Linked DNA regions of Daphnia pulex. The protein of the gene in region 2 purifies or fractionates together with the protein of the main gene of each other region. This does not show direct contact. Links are inferred from orthologs where the notes say so. Each region holds a gene or a part of one and is shown on either strand. Other genes may lie near its edges.

Region 1 (11,361 bases), on a different chromosome or scaffold from region 2:
CAAGAAATTGAAAGTCTCGAGGATGAATATTTTGCACTGATTGAAACGGTAAATCATTTAATCTGTAATTAGTCGTTTTTTAAATTAATTTTCTTTTTGTGTTAATATTAGATTTCAAAGGAGGATCACATTAACGATATCCTGATTCATGGTATGAATGGTTAACTTCTTTTTAGTTATTCACACTCACCTTTCTTTAATTGATCTTTTAATTCGCGTAACAAGGAACTTGCCCAAAACATTTCACGGCCAAAAAATTTCGTTGTTTGAAAGTAAACGGCGAATGCTACTGCATCGTCTCTGAAGATGTATTATAAAACACATATAGAGCAGTCTCATTTAAATGAAATTCAATCACTTGTTGGGTTACATCACTAATTATTTCACAGAGAAACTGGTGGAGTGCTCTCCATTATTGCCGGCAGTACGGCATGGAATTGCTGTCGCTTGAGACGAAAGAAGAAGAAAACAATTTAGCCAAACAACTCAAAGCAGAGAAAAAAAATGGTGATCACGGAAATGTTCTTTACAAAGTATAATTGAATGAAATCTAATTTTCAAAATTTAGTTCAAAAACAATTATACTTGACATCCGGTAATCGTCTTTACGGCAATCGATCAACTTGGATGTGGGCTGGTACAGGCGATATTCTCACGAGAGAAATGAATTGGCAAGAGGGAGAACCATCACGTGTACATGGAAGTACACAAGAAGAATGTCTAATTTGGGTTTTAACGTTTAATGAAACCCTCCTTATTCATGAATGGAATGACTTGAGTTGTACCGATCATCGTTACTCGTTTATCTGTGAATCTAAATCTCTACGACATAGTGCTGATATTTTGAAAACAAATAATTAGATCATTAGATTAAAAGCATTTTACCGTTTACTATTAAATCACATGACTACTCTTGTGTTATAAACGACAAATACGTCTAGATTAGTAGTGAACTACTTATGGTTGAAATGAACATGTTCACCCCATTTCCACTAAGCTTGCGCATGAGATAAAACCTGAACGAGGAAACTCGATTTTAAATTTCAAACTCTTGGCGCGAATCCAGTCTAAACTTGGTTAGTTAATCATAGATGTCGCTGATCAAGTCGACGCCATCTGGTGGACGTTTGGCTCAACACGAGTAGTAAACCCGTGCTGCCGAAAGCGTTGTCACGAATGTTAAGTGTTGCGTTTTGTTGGATTCTCACGTTTTGACGGCGACTTTAATTGGATTCACTTATTACACTATTTGTGTTGAGTGTTTCAGTGTTGCTTGTGACAGTTGGTGAAGAAGAAGAGAACGACCATGTTCTTTATTACCGCAGTTCAGTGCCTGTAATGCAAAATATTATTAAGGCACACAGCTGGGCAAATCTCGTGCGTACCTTACACTAAATAAAAGAAAGGTGTTGAGGCCGTCTACGAATCATAAGAAAAATTTGCAAAAAAAACAAAAAATATTAATACAGTTTGGATAGTTGCCAAACACTGATTAACAATCCTGTGCCAGTGTAGCAGCTGACTGTTGAGTCCACTCATCACTGTCCAGGAAAACATTGTAAATTCGCTATTGTGCTTGAGATTCAAGTATACTGTTGGCAACTTCTTATTTAATCAAAATGGCTGATGATAAAATGAAAGGTGATCAGGATTTTAAGAACCACAGTAATAATTCAACTACTTCTCCTCTTCAAGCAAAGCCAGCATCGGGGTTGGTGAGTAACCCTTCCAACCCGGAATTTTCAATTCTTACAGCATTTTAGGATAAAAAGTAATCTTAATTCAATATTGTATTTAGAAGCCAAACTATGCCCTCAAGTTTACCCTAGCTGGCCACACAAAAGCTGTGTCAGCTGTGAAATTCAGCCCAAATGGAGAATGGCTTGCAAGTTCATGTAAATATTTTGATGGTGTATGTTCAGGAGAATTATATTTCTAATAATGTTATAATTTTTTTATCATGAATAGCTGCTGATAAACTGGTGAAGATTTGGGGTGCCTATGATGGCAAATTTGAGAAATCAATCACAGGTCATAAACTTGGTATCTCAGATGTAGCTTGGTCTTCTGATAGCCGCCTGCTTGTGTCTGCCAGTGATGATAAAACCCTCAAGATCTGGGAACTGAGCTCAGTAAGTCTTTAACCATTTATTTGTGATGTTAGCTCATCTCTAATTCATGTATGTTCTTATAGGGGAAATGTTTGAAGACATTAAAAGGACACAGCAATTATGTTTTCTGTTGCAATTTCAATCCCCAATCCAACTTGATTGTCTCAGGCTCAGTAAGTTTTCAACCACTCGCCTTCTTTAAAATAGGCTATTGACCTTTTTGAATTGTTTGCAGTTTGACGAGAGTGTGCGCATCTGGGACGTCAAAACCGGAAAATGTTTGAAAACCCTTCCTGCCCATTCAGATCCCGTATCAGCGGTTCATTTTAACCGGGACGGATCTCTTATCGTTTCGTCAAGCTACGATGGCCTTTGGTATAATCGTGTTCATTTTACTAAATAAATTCGACCTCTTAATTTTATCGATTGGTGGTGTTGATCACTTGTTTACAGCCGCATCTGGGACACGGCTTCCGGCCAGTGCCTAAAAACGCTGATCGATGATGACAATCCTCCCGTCTCGTTTGTCAAATTTTCACCCAACGGAAAATACATCCTGGCTGCAACTCTCGACAACACACTGAAGTTGTGGGACTATTCCAAGGTGTCATCATGAATTCAACTCTAAAGATTTTTGCAGATTTTACCATTCTTTTTTCTTTGGCTCGTTTCAGGGCAAATGCTTGAAAACCTACACCGGCCACAAAAACGAGAAATATTGCATCTTTGCCAATTTTTCGGTTACTGGAGGAAAAGTACTGCTTTAACAATCCACGTTTCATTCTTTTACTTGAACATGTTTTTCTTTCTGCAGTGGATCGTTTCCGGCTCTGAAGACAACATGGTTTATATTTGGAACTTGCAAACGAAGGAAATTGTTCAGAAACTTCAAGGACACACCGGTAAGGCTTCCTACCGGGGGACCTGCTCCTTCTTTCACATTTAATTTGTCTAGACGTCACACGCGAACTTATATCCCTTCATGTTTCATTCTAGATGTCGTGCTGTGTACTGCATGCCATCCGACCGATAATATCATCGCATCTGCTGCATTGGAGAACGATAAGACTATCAAGCTCTGGCGTTCCGACACGTAGACCGCGCATTTAGCTTTGTCGCAATGAACCAACAACAAAAAATAATGGGAAAAAAGACGATGAAAAGCAGTTTTGAGGTGTGTACTTTATAGGAGAATTTTGAGGAAAAAAAAATGCAATTTCTTGGTATAAAAAAGTTTCCTGGCATTCTTGACTTCTCATGGCCTCCTCGTCGACAATACAAACATCTTTTTTTTTAATCGTTATAATTTCTTTAAGCAAGTAGATTCGAGTTTAATTGGGGTGATAGAGGCGCTGTGAAATGCGTTCCATATTGACGGCGTGCACTGTGTGCCAGGGAATGACGCCCTTTTTAACCTATTGTTTATTCAATAAAGAAACATGAGGATTAGTTTGAAGTTTTGAAATTAAATATCGACTTACTTGTAAAGTTTGAAAAACGTCAAGAACGGAAATCGGTTGAAGTGCGGTAACTTGTTCGGTAGTGCACGCTAGGTAGAATGCGGAATCCCGCTCTGCTTTCTGAGATGTTTGGGGTATGGCAGGAACGTGAGGTGGTTCCGCAGCTTGCGAAATTTCGGTCAGATAACTGATTTAAAATGAGAACACTTAGAAACATTGTTGTTGAAAAAGAATAGGACTGTACAATAAATATTTACCTGTTACTGGTACTGTCTTGGATGGACCATGAATTGTGTAGCCACGGATTAATTGTAGGTTGGCCAACCGAATAGATGACTTTGTTCTCTCGAAGGCGGTACCCTTTCCGGTTTGTTATGATAGCAATTATCAGTTCTTTAAGAAATTGCTTGGTAGCTGCCAGTATCAGTTTGATGGCTTTGTCTTCACAACCATGATCCAAACCAGCATCCCAAGCTGCTACTAGCATTCGACCGTGAACGAGTCCAGCGTCAGGTAAAATTAGATCCTGGCTGCAGTAACGAAGCTGTGGTTTCTCTACAGTGCAAGGAGCAGAAAATGGTAACAGAGAAACTGGATTCACTGGTTGGAATCGATTCTAGATAAGAAAAGAATTATGTTAATCAAGGTCTCCAATGAAAATTCCAATAATTAAGACATATTACATCAAAGTTGACAGTGAGAGGCTTGTTCTTTGGGTAAACTTGTCTTGTCACAGTGATCGGTTTGATTTCAACAGAATTACGTTTCTGTAGAGGAATGGTATGTGGTCTGATTTTGTTCACTTCAGTGACAACAATTGGCTTTTGCTTCACACCATGATAGACATAGGTTGAAGGCTGGCACAAGCTTTGACATTTTGTAACAATGGCCAAAAGAAACTCATTGTGAAGATGAACTTGGTCTACTTTCAGGTACAATCTGGCTTGGCGATCAAACTCTTCTTTGCTTGTCTAAATAGAGAGAATGTCAGTTATGACTGAATGGATAGTATAAAAGAAACATTTCTTACCCTCATACAAAACCACGATTTCAGGTGGGCAAAATAACTAAATAAAACATGATATTAGAGATATACCACCACAAATATCAAATCTGATTTATTTACTTCTTAGAAGAATCTCCCAAAACATCCACCAACCGTTTCCTGGCTTCGTTAACATCAAGTGCATTCATTGTTGTTGTGTTCTGACTTTTGAACTGCTTCGCTCACTTTTTTAGATTTAACTCGCCATTGGATTTCGTCTACACCTGTCTTGCCTCGACTATCGAAAACCACCAAAAGATGGTGCTCATTCCAGGAATTGATTTTCATAAAATAATTTTTTCCTTGAATTTGTCATTGATAAATATAACGTGTAAAATTAGATAAAATCTTGTTCGTAAAATGTACAAATTATCATGAAATTGAAGTGAATTCCTCTTTTACGGTTTAAAACCAAGAGAAATAGGTGGCGTTGTAACACAACTTGGTTCGTAAGCCTATGAATTGTCGGCTGTGTCGTGTCGTGTCGATTCGATGTGGAGACAGTTGCGCCTCTATTTGTTATCGTGTATTATTACAGGCCCGATTTCCAGTTTTCCACGTTAGAGATTTACATTTCGACACCCATTACACAACTGACGTCGGTTCAGAGCCGTCCGGTTAGATCGGTAAAATAAAAAATACTGAAACCGAATAATTATTATTAGTGTGTCTGTATCGTCACCAAACTACAGCGAGGTTGGAACTCGAGGTGGTGAAAGCTAAACAAAAATGGCAAATATTGAAGTTACCGTCAAAACCCTCGATTCGCGTAATCATAAATTCACAGTTTCAGAGGAGGTAAGACCATTAAAAGAAACGACTCGTGAGTTTTAGATAGGGGAAACTAACTGGATTTCTGTTTTGCAGCTCACAGTCAAGGAACTTAAAGAACACATTGCTGGGGATGTAGGAACACCAGCAGAGACTCAGCGTTTGATTTACTGTGGCAGAGTTCTTCAAGATGACAAAAAGCTCAGTGAATATGGTAAATTGAAAATACTCTTTCCTAGCTCAAAACAAATGATTGGCATGTAAATGTTTTTGTGTTTTACAGACCTGAGTGGAAAAGTCATTCACTTGGTCCAGAGAGCACCTCCAACAGTTGGTAATCCTCCTTCAGGACCACCAAGAACTCAAGGATCTAGACCAGGAAACATTCACTACCACCTAGACAGAGGGTTTCAAAATGGTGCCAATCATTCATTTGGTAAATTTCTCATCATTATTAAAAGTAGAAATCTCAATAACAATGTTTACGATCAAATGAAGGTTCAGTACCAGCTCCAGCCGGAAGTAGTTCTCTGTTGCGTTTGAATACAGCCAGACACATGCTGGAGGATGCCTCACAGAGTTTGGGAAGGATCAGTTCAGTTCCCAGCACTGGTTCACTCTTTACAATGGATAATACTGCTGAGGGACCCTACTCATCCATACAAATGGTTCAAGCACAGGCTGCCACTGCTATAGCTGCTGCATTTTCAACTGTTCAATCCTTGGGGTAATGACAAACCTCCAAACTAAAAAACTAAAAATGTTAGTTACGTTTCTTTTTATCAGGGCAAACAATATTGCCGTGTTGCAAGGACCTAATGGATCACCAGCAGTTCAAGGATCGTTTGGTTTTCGGGTGCAAGGGCCTCAACCAAATAATCCACCAGAGAGTGGCAGTGGCGCGAGCGAACGCGTAAGTCCTACAGCTCCGACTTCAACAACACCCCCTTCAACAACTCCTCCTTCAACCACCCCATCTGCAACTCCTTCGTCGGCTCCTTCGTCAGCTCCGTCGTCAGCTGCAGCTCCTCCTGGTGACCAACAACCTCGACAACAGCAAATTCGAAATCCTCGAGTGTCTGTCTTTGCCGATGTCATCGAAGATATGGAACGGATCCAGCAGGATCTTCGCCCTCATTTGACAACCGTCCGTCAGCTCCTCAGAGATGATCCCGTATTGGACAGCACATCACCTGAATACCGGCAAGCACAACACACCTACAACCAGGTTCAGTAAAATCATATTATATTTTCCTTTCCATGTTTTTCAATTGATTTTTGATCCAAAAGGTAGCCGAAGGATTGCACTTTTTGGCCCACGCTTTTCACGCCATGAGCGATTTAATGGTTGACTTTGGAACTCCCCCTCCTCGTGAAGTCCGTGCTAGACCCTACGTCTACCAACAAGTTCTTTCATCGACCATACCCATTCACGCTTCAATCAGCGTCGAGACTACACATACCCACCGAGCTCCTCAGACACAGGCTAACCCAGCAGCTCCTGAGGCCGCTACAGCTCCTCAACCGCAACCAGCGCAAGCTCCTCCGCGATTGCCCACAAGAATATCTCCTCATGAGTTCATCCGACACGTTACCCGCCCACCCACTGCAGCTACTGCTGCCAATCCATCAGTTCCTCCAACTACAAATCCGACATTTCATGGTTGGCGGGCTGCTGGAACGACCGGAACGGGTGTAGCTAATGCATCGGCGCAGAATCCCCCAGCTCCAAGAGCCTCAGTCCAAATGCTGCACCCTGAAATGCTGGTCAGGGGAGGACCGCACCCGTTTGGACGTTTGCCTTTAGCCATGGCGAGTCAAGGAGGCTGGACCCCTGTCAATTTAGGTGGTCAAATGCATCCAATGTCGCTCTTTATGGAAGTTCGCTCGAACAACAATCAACAGGAAGATCAACAAGCGTCTCGTGGGCAATCACCAACATCTTTGGGCGAATTTGACGACTTTTTACCGTGTCATTCTCGACATGTTACCCGCTCGTCTTCATCCAGACCCGACACTGAGCGAGCCAGACCACGCCCAGTGGTTGTCACTTCCACGTCGGCGGCACAAGCTTTTCCCGGTCTCAATCAAACCCGTCCACCAGGCCCTGGAAATCAACCGACAGCCGTTCCGGCCTCCGTCGACGAATTTATGAACGAAATGTTTCGTCAGGTAATTGCGGCATTGAAAATTGCGAGAGGAAAACATTGATAATGATTGGTCATTAAATGGAAATTCAGGTGACGGCCAATAGCGGTGTACTATCAGGCGGGGTAGTAGCAGGTGGAACGAGTGGTGGAGATGGATCCAGCAGCCCTAATCCAGTGTTAACCAACGCCTTGTTTAGTAGTTTGCTCCAGGGAGTCATGCAAGAAGTTGCGGGTGTGGTGAGTGGCCATCAGTCGCCCAACACGGTGGCCCATTTCTTACGCAACATTCCTGATTTCACTTACACGGCCGGCGAGTCGTTCCTCTTTGACCTCTTTATGACTATGGTGAAATTTACCTTGACGATGATGAAACGATCCATTCAAAAACTAACAGCTGACCTTTATTTTTTGACTAAAAAGGCGGATCACATGACATTCCGTGATTTGATGGCCCTATTTTACGGAATGCCGGAGGCTTTGAACCAGATGAGAGATCATTTGAGGAATTTCGCTCGTCAACGAGTCTTACCTTCCGGTGGTGACTTTTCAGACCCTTCCGTCCGACAGGGCATCATGACACTGGTCAATCAAGCCATGCCCTTACTCCAGAGTGCTGCCGTAGGACACGATTATTATTATTACATTTTTCATTTCAAGTATTGACTAAATTGTCTGGTTTTAGGCCGAGGCCAGCATTCGTCCCGATGTGGATTTCGTCGCTACCATGGCCCAATTCATCCAGCAGTGTCTTCACGAAGTCATCCAGTTAATTGGAATGCCAGGTATTATTGAACTTGTACTTGACGTTGATAGCTGATTGACTTTTCTGTTTTGTTTAAGGTGAAAATCCGAATTTCGGCCAACTGATGATGGATAAAATCCGCCGGACTTTAATACTCGCTGCAGCTTTAGCCCTCAATTGTTTCACCGATGGTTCCACTAGTCTTGAACGCGTTTTCCTATCTCAGTTGGTAGGATATTAAATGAATTATTATAATGAATTGAGGCGCTAATTGTTTTGTTATTAAAATGTAGCGTGGAGTATCGGATGGAGTTCATCCAGCAGTCCAAGAGTGGACGACAAATTCGTCGATCGAACGTCTTCGTTCACTTTTGGCTTCCGTCGATTTGGATCAACTGACGCCAACTATTGAGCCCATGGTGATGAACACGGAACGCGGAAGGACCTGGACTGCCCTTTTCAATGCAGAAGTGGAAGAGATGACCGACACAAATTCACCGGCCGCAGCGACCGTCGTTGCTCCCGAGTCTGTTCCCCCAGTGGCTACTGGATCGACGGCACCAGTTGAAGAAGAACCGATGGATGTGGTAGAAGAGAAGACGGAAGAAGCAGCATCCGCACCAGTTTCTGCACAGCCCGCAAGACTTAGTCGACTAGAGAAACTCCGCCAAGATGTTCGTCAAAAGGAATCCAGCCAAGTGAAACCTCCAGAGCCGGTCATTGACGTCGTCATGGGCTCTCAGTCGTGGCACAACGAAGTCCCACGGGTCAGAATTTTTAGAAATCGTTTTTCATTCCACCCAAATTTTTAATTAATTTTGTTTTTAAATACAATTTTCTGACAGGAATGGGTACCGGTGATTGCCCGTGATATCCAACGTCAAAATCGAGCTCCGCCAAATGTGCCGCTCAGTGACGCCTACCTGGCCGGAATTCCCAATAAGCGACGCAAGTTGGCCGAAGGCAATCGACCCAACACAAATCCTCAGTTGCTCCTCCAGGGTAATTAATTCATTCATCATATTTTATACAACGTTTGTAAAACCCTTTTTTTTTTTAATTTCTGAAATGTTAGAAACGATGGAACGCGCCCTGCGTTCTGCCAACGTCTCGTCGGCCGCCGTTGGTGAAGTAACGAATGTGGCCACTGCCAATGTCGAAGTGGGCAGCGCCCTTTTGCCGGAAATCCGCCGTTTGGGCAACGCCAGGCTGGACACGGACGCCGATTTCGATGCCGAACGTTTCCCTAACGCAGAGCGATACTTTCACGGAAACACTTAAAGAGTAAATAATAATAATAATAATAATAAAACAAAAACAACAAAGAATCGCCTCCACCCTGCCCTATTCTCTACCCCCATATAATTAATTAATCGGCCATTTTTCATGTTTTTTTTTCCCTTCTTCTTCTTCTATTGAGTCGCCATGTGTTTTTCATTTGTTCAAATTCGATGTAGGTGGAGTGGGCGATTTCGATCCTAATTGACTTCGATCGAATCATCATCATCTGATATAAAAAAAAGTAATAACTTTTCTTCATTTTTTTCCCTCTCATTGTTTATCCGTTTGTTTTCCGCCCATCAGCTTTTTGATTTAGTGGTTCCCTCTTCCTAAATTTTGTTTTTCTTGTAAAAGATAAAAATCAACCAAATGTTGGAAAGTTGTGCGAGTGTCATCAATATTTTGATTTCCCTACATTTTCCCGTCAATGGCCATCAACAAACTTTTTTTCCCCTTTTCGCTTGATGGCATACCCACCATAAACAAAGACAATTTTCTTTGCAATTTGGATTGTTTTTTTTTTTGTCTGCCTAACACGGAAATTGATAGATGATTGATTGAATAAAGATTTCTTTTTTTGTTTAGCTATTTTTCACCACTAGGTGGCGCTGATTATTTCATTTTGAAACTAAATGTTCTTCAAAAAAAAACTAGGATTGAAGAAAACTCAACACACACAATTTGGTTTTCCCTTTTGACATGTAGGAGGAATGGCTTTGATTAAAGAAGAGAGACACCGGCAGGGTTTGTTGACACACTTGACTTTGGGAGGTCATGACGGAAGTGATGGAAAAGAAGGTCTTCCCAGCAGCATCGGCAAAAGTCATCAAAGGCGATCGATTCATGGCCGATTGATATCGTTTGATGGAGGGAAAGATTTCTCTAACTTTTAATTGAATTTCCTATGGAAAAACCTTGGGATGTCTTGGATGACTCCCGTATGTTATTCATTATTGAATTCATGTGCTCCATCCGAAAGGGATCAGTTTTCTTCAGTTCCGGCCAAGGTTATGATTTTTTTTCGATAGAAAATTCGGAAATGTCGAAAATAGCTTGAGAATGTGCAGCAGCTAAAAAGCGGCAAGAGGACAGCGACCTCGACGGATTCCGCCAGTGTAGAAAGTGTTTTAAAAAACCCCATACACCCACACACACATGACAGTAGTAGTACAACAATAATAACAAATTCGTAAAAAAAAGGGAAAGAAAACTTTCTATCCGCTTAGCGCTTTCCACCACGATGCAGCAACTTCCAGGGAATTCACACACAATTGCATTGGTAAACAACTTTTGCTACTGTTGTCTAAAAAGAGCTATAGAGAGAAATCTTCCGGGTATTATTTTTCATGTCATTTACGGCCTTCATTTCGATTTATGTTGTTTTGATCAACTGCTGGTTGTATTTTATAGGGAGATGATAATTCGTTTCAACTTTTTTGTTTGTTATTAGATGATGATTGTGGTCGGGAGTCCTTGAGAGCAGCAGCGTCTACTCTTTTTCAATTATCGAAATTCATTCGGAATGATGTAGAAATGTAAGTGAATTTGGTCGATGATTGGGACAATCAAGGCCACATCTGCATCGAATTAAAGCCAAGTTTTTTTTAAATATCTTAATTGAATTAAGAGTTATGACGTTTTTCATTTAAAATCTTAACTGGTTCGTGTGTGTGTGTATGGGGATGGTAGACAACGATAGTCGGAATGGGAGAAGTAGGTCGGACGATGGGTGTTGTGTAAAAATTGTTTGATTACCGCAGATCGTCGAAACGAGTTTCGTGCATATAGAGTCGAGTACAAT
Region 2 (10,709 bases):
ATATATTCAAAACAGAGAGGATATTCCATACAGTAATGGATATTTGGTGTCGGAACTTTTGGGAGGGCTAAGTGTTAGTAAAATACGTTAAACTTTTTGGTTCAATACTTTTTAAGCAGAGCAACAGTGCACCAAGCCACGAATTCAATTTTCTAGACATTTCCATTCCACAACGGCGCCGACGCCATCCACTTTATATTTGGTTCCTCATCCCCCAAGTAATAGAACGGGCAAACGTCTCCAGAGGCTTTTTCATGTTCCCTTGTTCTCCGATCTCGCAAAGTTTCCCATCAAACACCAAACGATAAAACGGATGAACCCCATAACAATGCCGAATGTTACTACGATCTTTCCAGGTTAATACCTTTGTTCCCCAAGGTAATCCACTTTTTGTACGTTTTCATGCTTATTATCTCTCTTTAGTACACAGCCAAGGATACGACTAGCTCCAAAAGTCATCTCGTCATCATCAACAGCATGTCGTTTATTTGATCTAGCGTGCATTTGGAATGTTTTTCAGTGTAAATGATTATCATAACGTGGGTTGGACGTATTTATGTATGGCAGTTTACTTTAATGGATGACTAAAAGATAAAAAACAATTTCTCAATAAACTGCTGTAGTATTTTTTCGTTTGATCAACAATTTTGTTTGAGTTTTCAATTATTACGGGATATTACTGATAACGAATAACGCATTTCAGACATTTCGAAAAAATCGGCCATTTTCAAGGTCAAAATTGGCAATGTCGTCTGCTCCAAATTTCAGTCCACTTTAAACTCAGCTCAAGGGTGGAAGTGTCGTTAATGGTTAATGAGTTTGAACATTAAGTACGATCAAGATAATCAAATTGACAAAAGTAAAAGTAGTCAAAAGTAAAAGTCATTTTTGTGCAAATATCAGAGAAAAGAATGTCGATAAATGTAAAGAAACTGAACGACGGTGAAACGCAAATTGTGTGGAAGACTGTGGTCTCGGATTCAGAGGCCACAAATGACCGGGGAGTCCGTTCCTCTTGGTTCAAACTTGAACGTGTTCACTGTGATGCTGCGAATGCAGTTCAGCTTCGTTTAGAACAGTTTGAAGAAGACGATTCTAGTAACAATGCACAGAAAGCTTTACGTTTTCATTTCATTTTGAAACTGATTACTCCTGGAGGCAATGAAATCGACGAAGAAACGAGTCAACCTTGCAGTGCTTTACCTGAAGCTGTAGGGGTCAGCATTGACGAAGGAAGCATTCAAATGGCGACAAACAAGATGAACGAAAAGTGGTGCACATGGCAATCGGTAAATATTTCTTGTTTTTTGTCTGTCTTTGTTTGTGTCGTGTTTTAGACTTTATATGGCTGATGACGTGTATCGGTTTTTAAGTTGATGTACAGTTCCACGGCGATTTACGACCAGGAGATTACTTGTCGTATTTGGATCAAGTTTAACGAGATGACAACAAAGGCCCCGAGTAAAAGTGAAACGAATGCATTGAAGCAGTTTACAAACTTGTACGTTCGTCAAACCAACTGTGATGTGGAGTTTCAGTTTGATAACGGCCAATGCGTGGGCGGACACGCCATCATTCTGACGGCCAGAAGCCTAGTGCTCGCTGCTATGATACAACAAGCGAATCGTCAGGGCGGTCAGGGCAAGATCAGGATCCACCACATCCGCTTCGAGATTTTCAAAGACGTTCTCCACTTTATCTACTCTGGCAAAGTTTCGTCCTCCATCAACCAAATCAAAGCCCAGTCATTGTTTGAAGCTGCCGACGAATTCGATGTTGGAGATCTCAAACAACAATGCGTTAGTTATCTGATTTCACACATCCGAATGAACAACGTTTATCAGTTAATCTCCTGGGCCAAGTTACACTCGGTCGACGAGCTCCTAGAAGCGGCCGTTCATTTCCATTGTGAAAAATTGATCAAGCTCTTCCCGAGTCTAAGTGTGTCGGCCTGTAGCCGAATCACCATGGCGATGTCTCTCGTCTACTCTCACATGTAAACCCACAGACGAATGTCCACTTTTGTTACAAAGTCGTTTTATTCCGTTTTTGAATTTCTAACCTAAATTTATGTCTATTGCTCATTTCCTTTTTGGTCATTTTCGGAGTTTATACCAGTGAAATAAACACGACGAATAGTGTCACGACGTAAATATATCTATCGATTGTTTGGTTCTTTGTTTAAATGTAGGATAGTGTGGTAGCTTTTTATTCTGATTGGCGTTTCCGTATAGCCACCAACATTCACGCCGCCATAGCGTGAATATCGGGGATTGGGGTGGGGGCAGCTGTTTCTTATCGTGCGTCTAGCCGAGCTCACGCATGTAGGCGCCGTATCGATTTGTTTCAAGACACACACGCGAAGGGAAATAAGTCAGATGTTTGTGTGCAGAGTCGTCGTATGGCGTGCCTTGCCACTGTTATTTCTCGTTGGTCCGACTGGCACAAACACACGACCTTGGCCGTCGTCGTCGTCGCGTTCAATCCAAGACGGAATTATTCATCATTTGGAGCACCAGAATAATCATAAGTAGGACGTGAGCATCAGCAACAGAAAACCAACAGTATATTGCGAGAAAGTTCCAGCGAGCGGTGCATAATTCGTTCTTATGACAGTCAGTTGAATGAGAAACGCACTGACGCTCGTCGTCGCTCGGCAAAATCGAATCAAACCCGTGAAAGCCGAAGAAGAAGTGAATTGACGTCATGTTGACTGGAAACGGCTGCAGCTTCTCTTATTCCCGTCCTCACTAGTAGGCCCCCAAACAACGTTGAAAGAGTGCCAGACAAAAGGGGAGGGAGTAATGCAAGGACATTGTAAAATAATTGAGAATACAAAATTGAATTACAAATCAATCGTATCTTACAGTTATTCGCAAAACAAAAAATTGAAAGAAGAATCGATCGGTTGGCCGTCAGCTATCGAGGTGTGTGCGATATTTTGACGAGGACACCTACCACTAGGACGATGACGAACACGAGAACCTGAAGTTGTATATAACTTTTTAGTTAGTCGACGTATAATATAGTACGGGAAAAAGTTTGGCGTACCAGGAAGGTGATGATTTTGGCGAAGAAATTGAGGCTTCCCTCTTCTCTAGGGAGTTGGTTGCGTTGCTGATGGCGATTGTTTTGTTTGTCCGATTCTGGGTCATTCTCCACCAGCTGAGGGAAGGCCAGCCGTTGGGTGAGTGATAACTGGACGGCGGCAGCGGTTGCCGAATCGTAATAAGGATCGTCAAACATGTCGAGAACGGCGTGGTGGTTCGTTTCGTCTCCAGCAAGGCTTAGCAGCAGGGCGTCGTTGATTCCGCCTTCGTTCAGGCACAGCCGCAGGTACGGGCTGGTTAACATACAGGCACACCGAGATAATGATCAATTACTATTCCTTGTACATTTTACATTGTTACGCATACTCATATAGTTAGCTCAATACCGTCTTTTGTTATGTACACAGTTAACTAAACTTTAATCATGATTACTAACATGGTTCATTCACTTTCCAGGAAATTTGTCTCGACATCCCCAAAAGTCTATAAGGATCGTGTAGCGAATGAGTCGTAATAAGGTAACACTGCCTAGCTACTTGTCTAATTGATTATACTGTACGTAAATAACCGAATGCAGTGCAAAGATGAAAGCCAAGAAAAGTCTATAATCTCTTGCAACCCAATTAAACCCAACTCTGGTAGTAGAATATATATAGGTCACGATTCTTTTGTAGCAAGGATTGCGTGACCGTGGATAGCACGTAGATTTGCCCGCCTGTCTGCACGGATTTCTCGTAGACCGCCGTCTGTCGACAGACGTTTCAGGGCGTGGTGTTCACGCCTGTCACCGGTGCGTTTTCTTATAATTGACACGAAAACGATTTCTGGAGCAATTCGATAAAAAACAACGGCGGATTTACGTCCTAGCACTCAAGAAATAACCTTCTTGCTTATTCTCCTTCCTGGAAAGTTCTTTGTAGAAACAATCCCACGCGATCCATGGCAACTCTGCCGGCCTATATAGCCTTTGAAGTCTAAAATCGCAAAGTTCAAAGGGTTCAATGACATCATACTTTGATAGGCTGAAGTGCGATGCCATCAGCGACGACGTGGATCCTAGTTGCGAATTCGCCGAGGATTGACCGTGCTGCTCCTTGTTGTGATCGGTTTGATGCTGATCGGAAGTGGATGACAGCCACAGGTGATTAGGTACTCTGGTGGGAACTGAGAGGAAAGTCGATCGTGAAGATGAACTTCTGGACAAGGAATTGTGATGAGATGAACGTGTCGGCTTGATCGATGTCCGCGAGTCCATGTTGTTGTCTGTGCACGAGTCACTGCAAATGGAGCCGAAGCTCGGCTTGCGTGAAGGAGAATAACATCGGGAATCGCTTTCCTGATCGGCCAGAAAGTGCGACGATTCTTGAGAGTCGTAACTGCAACTGCGTTCACTGACGATGGACGACTGGCCTTCGTGAAAACTCCGGTCGACGTGAGCATCCCGTTGAACGCAGATCTTGGGTGACGAAGTTGTCGTTTGTTGTTTACGGCCGGAATTTGTCGTAATCGGAGTGCTGCTAGTATCGGACCAGCTGACCGCCAAACTGTTTGTCTCTTCCATCTCCGTCTGCTGCTCACATTCACTCGGCAACGAACGAATCTTCAGGAAATTGTCCGATCGTGGTGACTGCCAGCCGTCTAGACTGTAATCCACTGGTAAAAAGTTCCGGTGATGCCTATATAGGATGGGGAGGGGAAAAATCACAAAACGATCCTTATTCTGTTAGCGGCAAGCCACATCCGTAGGGGTATACTAACATATTTAGGTCAAATGGAAAATTGATGGCTGCCTTTTTTTCTTTTCCCTACTTTTTTACATTTTCCGTTTGTTGGAACGCGGAGGAGAGAGAAAGAGCCTTTTTTATTTTTAGAAAATGCCTCCGCGTTCTAGCTCAAGAGGAAACAAATAAACAGCCCAGCACAACAAAGCTATGGGCTTTTCTCTCTCCTGAGAGAAGACAAGAAATTGAACAAGATGCAACTTTCAGTTTATAATGATGGACTCCTCAGGGCAGCAGCACTGTGCATTTGAACAATAGACACAAGTTTCGCACAAATCCGTTGTGGAGCACAGTCAAACGTTTCCCCCCATATTCTAATCAACAATTCATCCGTGCTGCTTTCCTAATTGCCTGTTATTTCTCTAGTTTGATGTCTAACTTGTATACCCCGGCCATGAGCGCTGCCGTCGGGGACTAGCCGTCTCACCGCCCACATCAAACATTCATAAGGAAATATTGATTTTGTCTAGCATCTACTACAGTACATGCATTTTTACTTGACACAGATGTAGGGCTAGCGCACTGGCATTTGTGACAAGTTAGTTTCAAAAGTGTGTAGCACGTCAAAAGTAAAAAAAAAGTGGCGGAATTTTAAGAATAATAATAATAATGCTGACCTTTTCTGTGGCAAAAATCTGGGCGAAGTTGGAATAGTTTTAGCTGGTGACGGATCGTTTCTCTGCTCTCCAGTTCCGTGAACGCTATTTTCAACGATGGGGGGTTCATCTTCGTTCAACTTTGGTTGCTGCTGCTGTTGGTTGTGCTTCTCTAGACTGCTGCGCAGGCTGCCTAGTTTCATCCGACTCGGCACGGATAAGTGATTCGCCGACAGGTCCAATACGAAGGCAGATTGTTCTTGCAACTTGTTGTAACCCCCGTCTATCACGGTGGGACTCGCCAGCTGAGAGTCAATGCCGGAATCCGAGCCGAGTTGGCTATCGCTCCGGTGCTCAATCTGATGCTCCAGACGGGAGCAAACTTCTTCCGGCTTGGCCAGCAGAGACGAATCGTTCGAGTCGTTTGAATCGCTACTGGACCATATGTGCACTATCGGCGTATCTGACGGATGATCCTCATTAGCACTGAGAACCGTCATGTGCCAATCGGGCATTCCCACTTGACTACTATCACTGTTGAGCTGAGCGGCGCTGCTCCCGGACATGAGTTCGACTGCTTCCTTGCCTGACGCCAGATCTTTAGCCGGAACCACATCCGGCAAACGAGTGTCTGCCATGAATCAGATTCTTCGTTCACATCAACTTTTACTCGACGTTTCCAAGTTGGCGGCGGCAATCCATTGTCCGCTGCCCTGCTGCTGGCCGGAAAACGGGCGAACTATGATACTGCAAGGAAAACACAACAAAAACTCATCATCAGGGTCGATGCGTTTTGATTACGGCCATTACGGCGAGTTTCAGATGGCATGATCTACTCGCATAATATAACCATGCATCTTCATTGATTTTACAACGAAACCACCAAGAACAGCCGAGCTATTTGGTTGGCTGCTCCCAGCCAAAGTGAATTTTAGTATTTGCAATTTCGCCCGGCCAGTTTCTACAATTTGAAATAAGCGGCTTTTCAATTTTTACGTGGGCGCGCACTTTTCAATTGCCGAAAACAAAAAACACGAAAGAGACTAATGTCAAAACTCAAAAAAGGGTCACGCCATTCAATGGGTAGCAGCCGCCCACTGCTATAAATATAACGTGGGAAAATACTCTTTCTTATTCTTCGTCTTATTCGGTTCGTGCTTCAAAGCCTCGTGATAGATGGAGTCGTTCCTCCCCGACAGATGTTGGAACATCTTCTCACGGATTTTCCCGCTATCCACGTCTGAAGGGTAGAACTTGCGCAGCCAAGCCAAGTTTAGATCTCGCTGGAGATACACACACACATACACACACAAATGTTGCCAAACAATTGTTCCCCCAACAAAAAAAGAAAATGACTTTTCCTTATTAGTTCTTTTTTTGACAGGTGGGCCAATCTTGATAGCGGCTGATTCAAATGGATGAATCCTGTACACGCCGCCCGCGTGTTATCCATTAAGTCGGATCGAAAATCGATGGATAGTGGTTTTCTTTTGTTTATCTCTCGTCCGTTTCTATGCCTACTGTTCTTTATGTTTTTACCTACTATCCAAAAGTTGAGGAATGATGTTGATTGGAGGTCCGGCACAATAGTTCAGACACACAGCTAGGCGGATATCAAAAAGTTGCTGATTGATTAACGGTTTTGGTCTGTGTGGATAGCGGCGTCGCGGGGCGTGCGACGCCAAGCGCTCTCGTCGGAATGACGTCCAATCCCGAACTGAACGCACGTACTAGACCAGCAAGTGCCTTTAACAAGAAAAGAGGGGTAAAGAATAGGGGGGCAGAACACATATACATCAAGATCTAGCCGCAGCAGCAGCGACGGCGCCCTGGCTGGCCAGTCCGCGTTATAGGCCGCCACCGGTTGCGTATACTGTGTCGTCCCTTTTGCAGGTTTTTTTTACTTTTTTGGCGTCATCGATCCAGGTAAGACGCCATCGCGGTTCCTTATTATTTTCTATTACAGACATTTATTTATAGTAGATTCTTTTTATCCTTGTAATCCCGGCGTAGTTACAGCCTGCGCACGCAGCCAAACGAATTGCTTTTCAATTATTCAATAGGTCGGACTGCATTGCAACCCGACAGCAAGTCTGTGCGGGGGCTCTGCTGCAAACATATCTCTATCTATTATTACAGCCCTGCTAGCTATTGTTTCTTCTCATTGCAACCGGAAACCGTAGTTATATTAACTCGCTCGGCTAAATAACAAAGGTCGGAACATTTACGGATATATACAGAGGCAAGAAGGACAGATGTGGATGTTGGCAGGATCGCGTTTGTTAACGACAACATAAAAAACCCGCGATCTGTCTGAGACAATCTTTTTTCACGGCTCATGCCCTATGCACTAATAGCCCAGAACAGCACGAGAAGCAGGCCATTAAACACGTAGCACAAACAACTCGAGTTTATTTTAAAATGCTCAGTGGGTGGCGCGTTGTTAATCTTGAGCAACCACGCCATTTCATTCACCACACATTCTGCTTTTCCTTCCTAAATCCGCGTAGAGTTATTTCAGGTCTAGGTTTTATTTTGCTCCTTTCATTCCGGGTGATCGATATAATCTGTATCACAAAGATCTACTAGTCCCTTTTACCCTTCTTGCGCTGTTCCAAGTTGAGTGCATTAAAAAGGGATCAGAAAACGGGGGGCTTTTTCGATGGCAGCTTTTGAAGCTGTATTGCAAGCGAATCCGAATGAAAACACCAAGTAGGACGTGTTTGGACGATTCTTTTTTTGAAAGGTTTGAATGCGGGGGGTTACCACTTATGACATCGACCCATTTTCTCTATCCTGTACGTGGTTGGTTGGTCTACTCGCATGTAAAATAATGATTTTTGAGAATTATTGTATTCATCGGATAGATATGAGAGGTGCGTCAGCTGAAGTAAATCATCGGAAAGCCACAGTAGAAAGCATAGCTCCCAGACACTGGACAATATTAGAAGTCATCAGTACATCCACTTCCTCCTCTAGATGACGCTTAGGATCTTGACGGCCAACGTTCTTTACTGCGAGTTGTTCGGGTGTCATCTTTTCTTCTTCCTCCAAAGCCTGTCCAACACACATCATTTTAACATCTGATTACGAACAAAGGCCGGTATGTTTCAGAATTTACCTTGTTATAAGTTTTGGCTAATTCGAGCATGCTGCGAACACTCTGCTCGTTGCTTTTGCAGTGTTGCTCGTATTCGGCTAGCGATAGTCCCTCGGTCCATGATTTCTTGTGCAAGTTCCACAACATTTTTTGTTCGAGTTCATTCTTTCGATAGTTGATGCTGATTGAATAGTAGTGGCGATTAAGTCCATGAATCAAGGCCTGGAGAAAAAACCATTAAAAAGTCTTGCAGAATTTAATGTTTTGTAAAATCTAACAAACACACCTGAATTGATGGTTTCTGTAAATGTCCAAGATTTGATGTTGTCTGGCGAGGTTCTTGTCCCAATACCATCATGTTTGGATTTATCAACCTGAATGCATCAATGACAACTTTGCCTGTAAATAAAAAACTATTTATTACAACTGCAAAAAAAAAAATGAATAAATCTGTAATACCTTTGACACTTTGAATAGGGTCAACAACAACAGCGACAGCACGTTCAGACAAGGCCTCAAAGCTCTGCTGTGTGTTGATATCTACACCAGATAACCAACAACCAAATCCAGGATGGGAATGGTACCAGCCAACAACCATTTCAGGGCGGCCAGTTTGCCTGAGCATGTCCAACATTTTAGCTTGAAAAACTGGATCCACAGCTTCAACACTGACACCCTACATAAAGTTTGTTAAGTTACTGTGAGCAAAATTGATAAATGATAATGGTTTCATACTGTTCCTGACTGAGGCATAGCAAATACATCAATCACTCTGACTGTGTAATCGTCAACAAATTCTCCAAGCATAAGTCCCATGACTTCCATTGGAACTCCAGCTCGTCCATGTTTAAGCATTTTCAACAGTGCCAAAGAAGAAATATAAACCTGTTACAACAAAAATGTGAAAACAATTATAATAGGTATAGTAAGTAATTTATTGTAAATGCAAACGAATCTGTCATACCTGTTCGGCTGTGTCGACAACCGGTGCATCAGTTGGCGGAGCAGATTGTCCGAGGCCAGACATCGGGCCACCGAGCCGTAATAGACGATCCATTATCTCTTTAAATTATTAGTTCAAACTTTTTTTCGAATGAAGAAAAAGGAAACTGCTTTGTAGTAGAACGGCCGGTAAAAACAATGAATCCTTCCGTCACAGAATAGTCAATTCACGCTCCGCGCAACGTTTTTCGACGGGTTTATGCTGGTTAGCAACATTGCCCAACAATGAATGAAAAATGTTTCATTATCAGTTTCTATCAAACCCAGTTTTTAATTATCAATATAGATCTTCCATTAAAGAGAATACATTATTGTAAGAAATTTTATTCTTCAGATGTATCTTTTAATTATTATAAAAATTTTATTTGGTCGATTGCGACGTTTGTAGAAATCCAAACGATCGTTTGTCTGACGTCGTTACGAATTCTCTTTGTAAATCAGTTGTTTGACTTGTGAATCACCGAGTCTACTCATCAAAACAAAATGGCTTTGACTCGATCTGTTGCAGCGCTCAAGCTTTCTCGTAATATACCCATTATGAGGTGAGTAGTTAATATTTTAATGAGCATTCTACCTTTGTGACGTGAATTAATTGTCATTTGTTTTGCCTTTTCTAGTCGTTTAGCTTATTACAGCCAAGATGGTGGAGCTGGTGCCATTCGAGAAGCTGGTGGAACTTTCGGAAAGAAGGAAGCCGCTGATGAGGAACGATACTTCCGTAAAATGGTAGAAATATCTTTTTTTACAATTTATGTATAGCTTGTATTGATTTTTTATATGGATGGTAGCAAACTGAACAGCTGAAAACACTTAAAACTCACCTTGATGAGGAGATAACATTTCATCAGCAACGCATGAAGGAACATCAGGATGCAATTGACATTCATCAAAAGAGAATCACAGAGTTGGAGCAGAAAAAGAAAGCCTAATTGTTTGATATGCCTGAGTGTGGTGCAAGGATATCAAAATTCTGGAAGGATGTGTAGCCTTAATGTATATCCTAAAATACAATTCTAGTTTATGGTTGAGCTATTTATTTCCCTGAAAGATGTTGATACTGTAGAAGGAAGTATACAGCCTATGCCCTAAAATATTACTCAACAGGTTAATTTACTTAGGGGACATAATGCCATACACAAAACAGACTTCAAATGAATTTCAACATATAAAAGAACCTTTG
Region 3 (10,624 bases), on a different chromosome or scaffold from region 2:
ATTGAAACCAACAACAAAACAGTTGTTATGATATGCGACCAAGAATTTTGTTTTAAGGTTGGAGCGGAAATAATTCTCCTAAGCCACGATCTCACGAGAAAATCATGTTTTTATTAGAATTCCTTCACCAGTCGTTTTCAAGGTAATTTGGATTTAAATGGAATTATTGGTTCCCTATAAATAGAAGCCGAACTTTATTAGCTTCATCAGTCGAAAAATTCACCTTTGAACGGTAAGTTATTAACAAAATTTTTTGTTTTGTTATTAGTCTGGTTGACGACACAATGGCGTAACTATCTGATAGTCACTGTTTGTTTTTCTAAATCAGGAAATGAAACGCTTGCTGACTAATCAGTTGCTATTCTTCTTCCTGGCTGCTGTTGCCGGCCAAGATGGCTCAACTCCCGAAGAGGTTTGTCCCTGTCAAGCCGAGGATTCGTGCCAAAACGATCGTCACATTTTCGGTCGTGACGAACTAGACATACAAAAATTCGGACTTATCCCGCCCTGTCGCAATTCTGGCGAAATTCCATGTTGTCCACGTGATCCGCCGCCGCCCAAAGAAACTAAATTGACGCAAAAAGATCTTGAAGGCTTCTCGCCGGCCGAGCTCGCCCAATTAGGTATCATGCCCGAAGGTACCATTGGATCCTCTTCGCTACCATTAGCTGAACAGCCGGAGCAGTCCAAGGTAATCCAAGACATTCAGCAACCGATCGATATAACGCAACCAGGCGCAGCATCGATAGCTCCGCACGGCGCAACGGGTTTCGCCAGCAGCAACGCTCCAAAAGGACATCCTCCTCATCAACAGAAATTACCATATCCTGTTCAGCAGCCGAATCCGCCTCCATCTATGATGCAGCATCGACCTCCGCCTCCTATGATGCAGTATCGACCTCCGCCACCACCCCCACCCGTCTATCAAAAACCCGTTTACCCCACCTATTACACTCCTCCACCTCAAATGTATCGTCGTCCCGTCTACAATTACCCCCCGCCCCCGATGCGGCCGATGTACAGACCTGCTTATCAAAGGCATTAGTCCCGAATTACTACCTGCATGAAAATATTAAATCTCGGTCGACTTTATACCAATGAGTTGTGAATACAATTTATCAGATCGTTGACCGTATTTCAAATTTCAATTTCCTGGTATTTTCTATATTTGTATTTCGCAATTTGAAGCGTCAATGTTGTTGATTGGCAACGGTGTGGTGCAGAGCAAAAAGAAAAATCCATTACGTTACTGTTACTGACATTGACTGCTTTAGTATTATCCTCTGGTGCTACTGTCAAGGAATCTATTTCTAAATTGACTTACCAATATGGGTTCATATCTCCGGGACTATGGTGAAGATCCGTTCTTTGCGTGAGTTTCTTTCCATTCCTTGGCTAACCAAACAGTAGAAACGAACAACCTGAGGCTCAATTATCCGCTCATTCTTACCGTTATTTGACATTTCCCTACGCCCAAAACATGCAACTTTCTTCATTATTACCCCAAATTTCCCATACTTTCGGATTTCCTTCCCATGGTCTATCATTTCCTGGTTGTAGAAACTCAGTTTCTTGCCAACTGTGCTTCGAGCAGCCCACCAAATCTTACAGCTTTCATCTGAATTTATTCTCTTGTACACTGTTTGTTTGCTTTGTTTACATTTAAAATTACAACAACTAATCTATTGAATTTACAGAGGTACTAATCACTTGATGCGACAAATGGATTCAATGATGAACTCAATGATGGACCCTTTTGCAAGTATGATGTCTATGCATCACCAAATGATGGGCATTCAACCTCCTCCTCAACAACGTCACCCTGCTGGCGCAATGGTTCCTTTTGGAGGAATGCCTGGATTCCCTATGGGCATGGGCATGAGTATGGATCCATTTGGAATGCCATCAGTAGGACAAATGTTTCAGAGCTTTGTAAGTTATCACAAACATTTATTTCACCAAAACTGACTTACCAACAAAATTGTATTGTGTAGGGGCAGCCTGGATTTGGAGCCAGCCCCATGTACAGCAGCAGTTCTGTGATGACAATGACAACTGGCCCAGATGGGCAACCACAGGTAACTTAAAAAATAAAATTGTATTCATATTTGTCTTCAGACAAGCACTGATTGTTTAAACTTGTTTGACGTCTGTTATTAGGTCTATCAAGCTTCAACTACCACTCGCACAGCTCCAGGAGGTGTAAGGGAAGTTCAGCGTAGTGTAAGCGATTCACGCAGTGGAGTTCGTAAAATGGCTGTTGGGCGACATTTAGGAGAGCGAGGCCATGTTGTCGAAAAAGAGCAAAATTGCTACACAGGGGACTCCGAACAAAGAGAAGATTTCATCAACATTGAAGAAGGTAAGTTTGTGATGTTAGAACAGAATCTCTTTCATTTCTTAATTTTCTAAATACCGTTTAATAGAGGAAGCTCACCAATTTGACGAGGAGTGGCAAAGGAGAGCTCGTTCTCACCATCACCAAGGCATGTACGGCCAATCTCGCATTGAAATGTCACGTCCTCATCATCATAATCATCATAATAATCATCATCAATCTAATTCTTCCAACTACATGGGAGCACCTTTAGCTATTACTGCTGGTCCTAGCCATGAAATTGATCCGCCCAGGTCTCGTCACTCAACCAATTCACGCGGGTATCCAATCTAAAACATACCTGAATAAAACCATTCATATTTACTTACGCGTTTTATGTTGTGTTGATTTAAAAGTGTTGGCCCCGATCGGAATGCAAGGAAGAGAGACGGCCATCGTACTGGAAAGAGCCGCCACGAGACCTCAATGTAAATCTCCTATAGGAAATCGTTTTCAGAGGAAAATCAAATCACAACTCAATAAAGCTCCAAAATCGCCAAGTCTGACATGCACGTATTTTCCTGCAACATGTCCCACCCCTCCTCCCAATGAAGTGTTAAGCGTATTCTTTCCTTTTGTCTGGCTTCTCTATTTTACCTTTAACACCAGTTTTGTTATTTTAGAATCTCACTACCATCGTACGGTGAAATGAAGAAATCTCCACGTAACCCTTTTAGTCACATAAAAATAGACGAACACAAAATTCGTGGTCGGTGTTGGAAATACAAGAACACACAACTGAATTTCCATTGACTTTTTAATTTATCAATCATGTGTTTCCATCACCAATAGACAGGAAATCGGATGGAAAGTCTCGGTGAAAACCCACAAACAAACGTTCATCAAAATGAATTTAATATAAGTTGTCCACGTTGGAAGTACGTGGTTTCTTAATTTTTTCTAAATTCTTCATAATGATGTCGTGTAGCGTTGAGTAATGATTCCGGATCTCACACATCACCAATTTTAAACTAACGTATTCCTTTTCGTCAAGTTCTTCGACAGTTACTCTGAAATCTTCAACGTGGGGGTATTTTGTCACCTATAAATCAAAAGTATAATTAACTTTTTTAGCAACGAAAACAAACTAAACATCGTACCTTTGTTACGATTTTGCCTCTTGTGATAAAATATCGGGAAATCTGATCAAAAAAGGCTGCGGCTTCAGATTCGACTGTTCTTATTTCAGCTAACATATCTTCTTGAATTGAGACTCCAAAGTTGTTTCCGTCTTCAATTTTCGGAATCAAAAAAGAAATCCACATTTTCAACTAAAAACAATAACAACAGATTAGATATCAACTCTCCAATGATGTTAAAAACAGTAGAAAATAATTAATCTTTACCAGGTTTGCATCTTCAACCAAGTGCCATATGTAGGGCTTGACAATTTTGATCATTTGTCTTATGTGAGAATTACAAGGAACAATTCCTGTGGGTAGCACCAGAACAGGTGTTCCACTGGTAACTTCATCTAATTTCCTCTTTTTGGTTTCAGTTTCACAGCTGTCATGACTGAAATGGAAAAAAAAGTTATGGGATTTTTCAACTAATGAATGTGAGTAAGTAACAATTACTTATTGGAAATAATTGGTGAGGGAACTGGAACTTTAAGATCTTCATGAACTTCTTCGAGATTTTTTGTGCTAAAAAGTGGCGTGGCAAGAAGATCATTCAGCTCCACAATCTTTCTGGGGAATCCATTGTTGATAAGGTCCTCTGCCTGCCGATAAACAAATACTAAAGGAGCACAAACCTTGTGTACACTTTTAACATAAAAATTTCATGCAAAGCAAACCCATTTATGAACGATAAGACCAATATTAGTATGCCCAAACTATCTGTTAAACACAAAGTTGGTGCCAACCTGTTTCTTTACTGTCTCCTTGTACTGCAGCACCTGGAAAGTGAAAGTAGAAAACTTCTATGATCATCACTATTGAACAAAATCATTTTTTCAAGCGTTTTTTTAGAAAACAATTGTCGACGTTTACAACCTCCAACTTCAGTCGCAAGTACCATCAGTAGACAAAATGAATTTAAAAACTACATATTTGTAAAGAAAATCAAAAGCCGAGTTTCTATCATGAAAAATTGAAAACAAGCATTGCGAGGCCACGCTATACAATTATTTTTCTTACTTTTGAAGCGTTGTCAACCATTTTCTTCACATAAATTTAACCGGTTAACGATTAACTTTTGTGCTCAGCGGCCATGTGTTGCCAACGTTGCCTCATCTATCGAGACTTTTTTTTCGTATTCATATTTCCAGATATTTTTTATTTCATTCTCTCTTCTTCGTTTTTGTTTATCATTTATTCATTTGTAATTTCTTGGTTGCTATTGTCATATATTTTATAATTCTGTATTGGATTCATCGTCGTAGAATTGTAATCATCAATTAATCCGATTAATCAAGTTTAGGACCGGACCTGCAAAAAATGCTTTCGAAATCGAAATCTAAAAAAATGTCTTTAATTTTTCGGAATGGTACTGAATTGGGATTCTGGGAATTCCTATTACCTTAATGAGAATAACAATGAAATTATTAGTAACCGTAACCGTTTTCGTTCACTCGGTAACACAGCGGTAAATTATTTGAAATAAACTTGGACATAATTTTCAGCCGTTCCGTCCAGTCGTGGTGGATGGCAAGAAATCTGTTGGCTTTTGCTATATCAAGCAGCGGTCGATCTCCTTTCTCTACAGATTGTAAAATTCTTTTAAGCGCGCAGTTCAAATCTACTAATTCAAAGCGCCATCTATTGAGGGCAATGGGCAACTTTCATCCGTAGGTCGCAAAAAAAACCTATGGACAAAAAAAGCGAAACAAAATGTGAAATCGTCGGGAATATTAAAACATCAAAATTTCATTACCATGTTTAAATCGTTACAGACATATCTCGTTACCGCCACATAGTAATTCGTAACGCTAGCAGTCTAGAAGCCCTACAGGCGGCAGCTCTCTGAATTCTCGATTTCTAAAGACTGGAGTCCAATGGAAAAAAAAATCCTTATTGTGTGCAGTTAAACAAGAAAAAAACTTAATGTTTTCTAGGTCACCACGAGTGGGTAAACAAATCGAAAACGAGTTTATCTACTGCTATAGCGCAATGTATCCTCGTAATAGACTGAAGTTGGCGAGTTGCGTAACAAATTAGTCGAAGCCCAGTTGGGTACAGTATCCATTCCGTTTACAAGATCAACATAAACGAGTCTTATTTTTGTTCTACCGGAGTATATTCGTGAACAGCTGATTTTAAAAAAAGGGAAAAACGATTAAGAAACTGCAACAATAACAAATGCTTTTTTCTTCTGCAAAGTCAAGAATTTTTAGCGCGTGGAGTATATGCTAGAGACGTCATTTGTGGATGTCCCCATTTTTTTATTGACTCTTGGCTAAAATTATACTGCAAGTTATCCCAAGAATTATACATTACTTTTAATTTTAGTAGGATACTGTTAATGCTGGAATTTTTTAGTTTTGGCATGTGTTTTCTGGTTTAATTAAGAAAAAATGTGTAAGGAAATTGAACTGCGCACTCCAAGAAAAGTTTTCTAATAACAATCCTCAAAGACTTCCAAATATAGTTGTTTAGTTCTTGTCCAACTATCTCGTCCTCAAGTTCGAGTATAGGTTTCAACAATGGCCTCGCTTCTTATCTTAAGTGGCGAAGCACATTAAGAGCCTTTAACAATACTCTTTTGCATTATTATTGGTTCCAATATTGTACAACGTAAACAATGGAAAAACATAAAGAAATCGTGAGCAATTATCGATGGCGAGCTATTGTATCATGCAAGGTCATTCAAAAAATAATAATCTCAAGTTGAGGGTAAAAACGCATATTTCTCCAAGTTTAAAAATAGAATATAGCCCAATGAGATGGGCTTGCGCTCCTGCGTTTTCCAGCATTAAAAACATCCATATAGAGCCCAACTATTCTGATTTTGACGGCGAACAGAAGTCTCTGTAGAAACTTTTTCGTTGGATGCAATGGACGGGATACGGTAGAAGCGGTTAAAACTACGGGGGCTGCTTCTAATTTTAGAAAGAATACCCTGGTTCCGAACAAGACGGCAGCAGCAACAATCATTAGAGCAGCGTCTCGACGCGCAAAGGGCTCACGTTGAAAGAGCTTTCTCACCCCGTCGACGACGTTCCGCCCTCGCCACTATATTCGTGTTTTCTCTCTTTGGATCGTGCTGTCGTGTTGTTTTCGACGTCGTGTCCGTTTGAGGTGTGGTAAATTCCATCTGAAACTTAAAATCAATCCAGTTTACAGGATTGTGTGTGACGAATCTTTTGTTCAACAGCATTTATTCAAGTGAGTTTTTACTTCTTCTCTACTTCAAATCAACGTTTGAATGAAATTGCTGCTTTTTTTTGAAAATTCCACCCGTCACCGAGTCAAACTGTGCGCATCTCGATTTACGATTTTCCAACTCTTCACAATCCTGAAATGATAAGATTGTGTAGACTTTTCTGACCCCCACAAACATAAAAAGGGATGCGACGATGTGAAGGAAAATATAAGAATTTGTTTAGTTAACCCCGCAGTAACAGCTTAGTCAGAACACACGACGGACTCGGATAAATTTAGCTTGCAGTCGGGACAATATACACACTTTGGCATTGGTTGTTACATGGTGCGCGTGAGTATTCGGTCGACAAGACGAGAGCCAGCCGAACGCCGGTTTTAAAGCTTTCTGCAGTTCTAGAAGTTGAACGTGTCACAACTCGTTTCACAGTCATTCTTACTAGCCTACTTGAAGTACTTGAAGCTGCCATAAAACTGCCATCTGGGATCAGTTGTCATAAAGTAAAACGCTGGTTACGTAAGAAAATCTTGTTACGAACATTTTTCCATATTTGTAGAAGTGTCAGTTTTTTCTCTTCGGAAAACAGCCTACCTAATATTCATTGAAGTGTTACAAGAAATTCTTAACTTTATGAACGATTTTTCAAGACGACAGCGACGGTTAAAAGGGAACTTGTATTGTTTCTAATTTCTAATCTTGTTTATTTGTTACTTCAACTAATTAGTCTAGATATAATGAGGTTAGCTAAATTTAGAAATTGTCTTTTTTTATTCGTTTCTTGCGAGTGTCAAATTGCAACGGGAAGTTTATTAGGGATTTGATTTAATTTGAAATTGTAAGTCGAAAAATTCCAAATAAGGAATTTTTCCGTTTGGCAACCACGCTTAATTGTTTACACTATTTTGTTTTGAAAACGACTGAGCTTCTGTGGAGTTTCTAGTCTGTTTCCACTCTAAACATCCACTGGAGTGTTGTGTGTTACATTTTCAGTTTATTATTGGATTTCATCATGTCATATTTAATACAGGTCAAGCATCCAATCAACTTCTTTATAAGAAGAGAAACATGGATTCTGAAGCTGAGACTGTTGTACTGGAAAACATCATCAACTTACAAGTAAAGAAAGATTGATGTCTTAATTAAAAGGAAATTACTAAATTATGCATGATTTTAGGTAGATGAAAACCAAACAGAAGAAACTCCTGTAGTCGAAAAAAAGAAGAAGAAATCTACTACCAAAAAATCAAAGAAAACAAAACAAGATGTTGCTTCTAAGACAACGGTACAGTTACTTTCTATTTACCATGATATATTACTGCTGTAGGTATAAGCCAATATTAAACAACTTTTTTCTTTTTTTTAGAAATTTGAAGGGAAAAAAATCCATGTCCGTTCAGTTGATGCAGCACAGGTCCAGCAGAAGTTCAATAAGGTAAATACAGAAATAGAAAGACTACTATATTAGTGACCAGTTCACACACACAAAAAAACATATTATGTTACTTTTACAGGTAGCATCTGATGCTGATGCCGCTACTACGCTTTGCAAGCTTTGCAACAAGCAAGTTTTTCAGATGGAAAGAGTGAAAGCTGAAAAGTTGATTTGGCACAAACATTGCTTCAAGTGCACTGAATGCCAAAAGAATCTAACGTGAGTAGGCATATTATGTGAGTTCAAATCAGTTCATAGAAGTGTTACAACTATTTAACTTTAATAAACAGGGTAGACACATACAATAGTCATGAAGGACTCATTTACTGCAAGCCTCACTTTAAACAGTTATTTCAACCAAAAGCAGTTCTGGAATCAGATGAGCCATGTAAACGCGTATTTAATATCGTAATTTTAAAGAGTTTTAAATTGATTTTGCATTTTTAAAATTTCAGATTATCTAAAGCCCGAATTGATTATCAGAGAAAGTCAGCCCATAGAGCTACCGGCTGACGTTGTGCGAGGTATGATAAGCTTAATTTAAATTACATTATGGAACAGTAAAACACATTAATTATTACTTATATAGCAAGTGAGACGTCTAATAGTTACGGCATGGACGAGTTAACAAACCTAGATCTCAAATCTAGATTTACAATCTTTGAGCGAGCCTCATCAAACTCGCAAGCTGACGTGGAAATTAGAGAAGATCACAAATCAGTGAAACGTTCTGAGAGTATTCTGTCACGACTAGCTCGGTAGGCTAATTTATGCTGTTTTAGCAAATATCATTTACACATCATCTTCCCTATAGATTTGATCGTGATAATGCCACCCTCAAGGGCGAACTGTCCAAATCCTGTGGTAATTTAGACATCCAAGATTCGTCTTCTGAAGGTGAAGAAGGGTACATGTACGACGATGTTGCCGGCAACCGCTTGTCTTCTTATTTGGGACCGGATAATTCCGTGAACTTTGGTTCTATATCCGACATCAAATCGAAATGGGAGGATGACAAGAACGGGTCTCATTTCAACAGGCGAGAAGAATTGGCTAAACAGCGCAAGGAAGAGCTCAAGATCCTACGAGCTCGACAATGCCAAGTATTCGCTTTAAAATTATCGATTGGAGTCATGAAATTATTTGTGTCTCTGTCATTCAAGGGCCGGCAACTTCGTTTGAAGGAGCAATACGAGCAGGCCACTCAAGAAGGAAAAGATGGCAAAGAATTTCATGTCAACGATGCCAATGTTGATCCGGAAAAGATTAAGCACATTAAAGATATTTTTGAAATGGGTGGCAATGAGGAGAAAACTTCAGCAAACAAAACGTCCGAGCATCTGGTCGATCCCGAAAAGCTCAAACAGTTGAAGGGAATGTTTGAAAGCGGTGGCGAAAACTTTGGCGAGAAACACGAACGCCATGAAGAAGTGATTCTAGGAGGTAACTCACATTTTATACAGCGAATGCAACATTTGACTGTACACTTTGTAATTTTGTTTTTAGCTGTTACCAAAGAGGCCCGCAACATCTTTAAGCAAATGGAGGAAAATGGATTTCAAGATAAGAATAAACAGAAACGAGTAGGATCCGAATAGTTGTATAATTATGTATCTTTAGTTTGGAATTGACTGGAACTCGTTTTGTGGATTTCAGGAGCAATATGGGCTGGAAAACAAGGATACTTTTAAAAGCACCTCAGCTATGCTAGACTTGTTTCGTCGACTTGAAAAGGAGCCCGACGCCTTCAGAGGTAACATTTGGCATTCCTTGAATGACAAATTTTGTCAATTTTAATCTTTGACGGAACGCATTCTTTTGTAGATAATCGCGATGAAGATGATTACGACGAAGAAGAGGAAGAAGGAAGTGACGGAGAATATTCAGATGATGGGCAGGGCTCCGATAACGAAGAGGAAGAAAATGTACCTGTTGGTTTGACTCCTCAACAACAGGAACTTTTACAAATTGTGAGTCAAATAGATTTTTTGAGCACGTTCCAGAAAATGGAGGGTGGAATTGCACAAGAGCGCACGTTCATGGTCGCCTCCCTTTTTATTTTTTCCTTGTCTATCTTTAGGCCAGAGATCGGGCTGTGGCCAAAAATATGCGAGAGAAATTTGAGCGCTGGGAATTCAGCACTGATGAAGAGAAATTAGCTTACGAAAAAACCATGATGATCCCCGAGTCGGAAGAGATTCAAGCGTCATTAAACACGACCAGAAACTTGCGCGCCATGTTTGAAAACCTTCAAAATGAGCCGCCAAAACCAGAGAAGCCCAGGATCAAAGTCAATAGATTCGTTTGATGAGTTTGTTGATTTCTTTCTTTTTTTACACGGTTTAAACCAATAAGTCCTCGGGTGAGAAGTGGGGAGGTGGGGGAGGGAGGGGAGGATTCTCTAAATCAAATTTGTCGTTGAAGAAAATGTTCTGTGTAATACTCAACCCAAAAAATTTTAACACACACTTGGATTGACAGCAAATACACTT

What was found.
Region 1: the proteins of 26S proteasome non-ATPase regulatory subunit 14 (region 2) and large proline-rich protein BAG6-like purify together in Homo sapiens (affinity purification with mass spectrometry; 3 studies listed by BioGRID, with this or other methods). This does not show direct contact. The link is inferred for Daphnia pulex from reciprocal best matches to the Homo sapiens genes PSMD14 and BAG6.
Region 3: the proteins of 26S proteasome non-ATPase regulatory subunit 14 (region 2) and proteasome activator complex subunit 3-like purify together in Homo sapiens (affinity purification with mass spectrometry, with the first as the bait; 3 studies listed by BioGRID). This does not show direct contact. The link is inferred for Daphnia pulex from reciprocal best matches to the Homo sapiens genes PSMD14 and PSME3.

Annotation. Positions count from the first base shown.
Region 1 is NC_060023.1:11,635,321-11,646,681, reverse strand, and holds large proline-rich protein BAG6-like, read left to right. Parts: upstream 1-5,079; 5' UTR 5,080-5,345; coding exon 5,346-5,414; intron 5,415-5,483; coding exon 5,484-5,601; intron 5,602-5,670; coding exon 5,671-5,823; intron 5,824-5,885; coding exon 5,886-6,114; intron 6,115-6,173; coding exon 6,174-6,615; intron 6,616-6,677; coding exon 6,678-7,559; intron 7,560-7,627; coding exon 7,628-7,882; intron 7,883-7,957; coding exon 7,958-8,155; intron 8,156-8,219; coding exon 8,220-8,319; intron 8,320-8,377; coding exon 8,378-8,508; intron 8,509-8,572; coding exon 8,573-9,046; intron 9,047-9,124; coding exon 9,125-9,281; intron 9,282-9,354; coding exon 9,355-9,560; 3' UTR 9,561-9,563; exon of another isoform or gene 9,564-9,736; 3' UTR 9,737-10,144; downstream 10,145-11,361. Other genes in the region: WD repeat-containing protein 5, read left to right, coding at 1,620-1,715, 1,799-1,895, 1,969-2,132, 2,195-2,284, 2,347-2,486, 2,565-2,715, 2,786-2,866, 2,926-3,013 and 1 more; transcriptional adapter 1-like, read right to left, coding at 3,443-3,526, 3,593-3,758, 3,829-4,187, 4,255-4,542, 4,602-4,638, 4,698-4,765. UniProt on the Homo sapiens protein: ATP-independent molecular chaperone preventing the aggregation of misfolded and hydrophobic patches-containing proteins.
Region 2 is NC_060022.1:5,168,734-5,179,442, reverse strand, and holds 26S proteasome non-ATPase regulatory subunit 14, read right to left. Parts: upstream 9,756-10,709; 5' UTR 9,585-9,755; coding exon 9,492-9,584; intron 9,413-9,491; coding exon 9,263-9,412; intron 9,204-9,262; coding exon 8,987-9,203; intron 8,927-8,986; coding exon 8,814-8,926; intron 8,750-8,813; coding exon 8,549-8,749; intron 8,485-8,548; coding exon 8,323-8,484; 3' UTR 8,262-8,322; downstream 1-8,261. Other genes in the region: ARMADILLO BTB ARABIDOPSIS PROTEIN 1-like, read left to right, coding at 912-1,289, 1,374-2,000; uncharacterized protein LOC124196063, read right to left, coding at 2,920-2,985, 3,052-3,343, 4,064-4,726, 5,449-6,065; ATPase inhibitor mai-2, mitochondrial-like, read left to right, coding at 10,013-10,071, 10,147-10,255, 10,318-10,458.
Region 3 is NC_060017.1:6,929,680-6,940,303, forward strand, and holds proteasome activator complex subunit 3-like, read right to left. Parts: upstream 4,648-10,624; 5' UTR 4,540-4,647; coding exon 4,519-4,539; intron 4,278-4,518; coding exon 4,245-4,277; intron 4,104-4,244; coding exon 3,955-4,103; intron 3,893-3,954; coding exon 3,724-3,892; intron 3,649-3,723; coding exon 3,478-3,648; intron 3,420-3,477; coding exon 3,231-3,419; 3' UTR 3,117-3,230; downstream 1-3,116. Other genes in the region: leucine-rich repeat extensin-like protein 3, read left to right, coding at 332-1,045; myeloid leukemia factor-like, read left to right, coding at 1,329-1,372, 1,698-1,932, 1,995-2,078, 2,161-2,362, 2,427-2,658, 2,734-2,809; protein-methionine sulfoxide oxidase mical3a-like, read left to right, coding at 7,766-7,816, 7,875-7,982, 8,064-8,132, 8,212-8,351, 8,423-8,520, 8,588-8,656, 8,722-8,890, 8,947-9,235 and 5 more. UniProt on the Homo sapiens protein: Subunit of the 11S REG-gamma (also called PA28-gamma) proteasome regulator, a doughnut-shaped homoheptamer which associates with the proteasome. 11S REG-gamma activates the trypsin-like catalytic subunit of the proteasome but inhibits the chymotrypsin-like and postglutamyl-preferring (PGPH) subunits.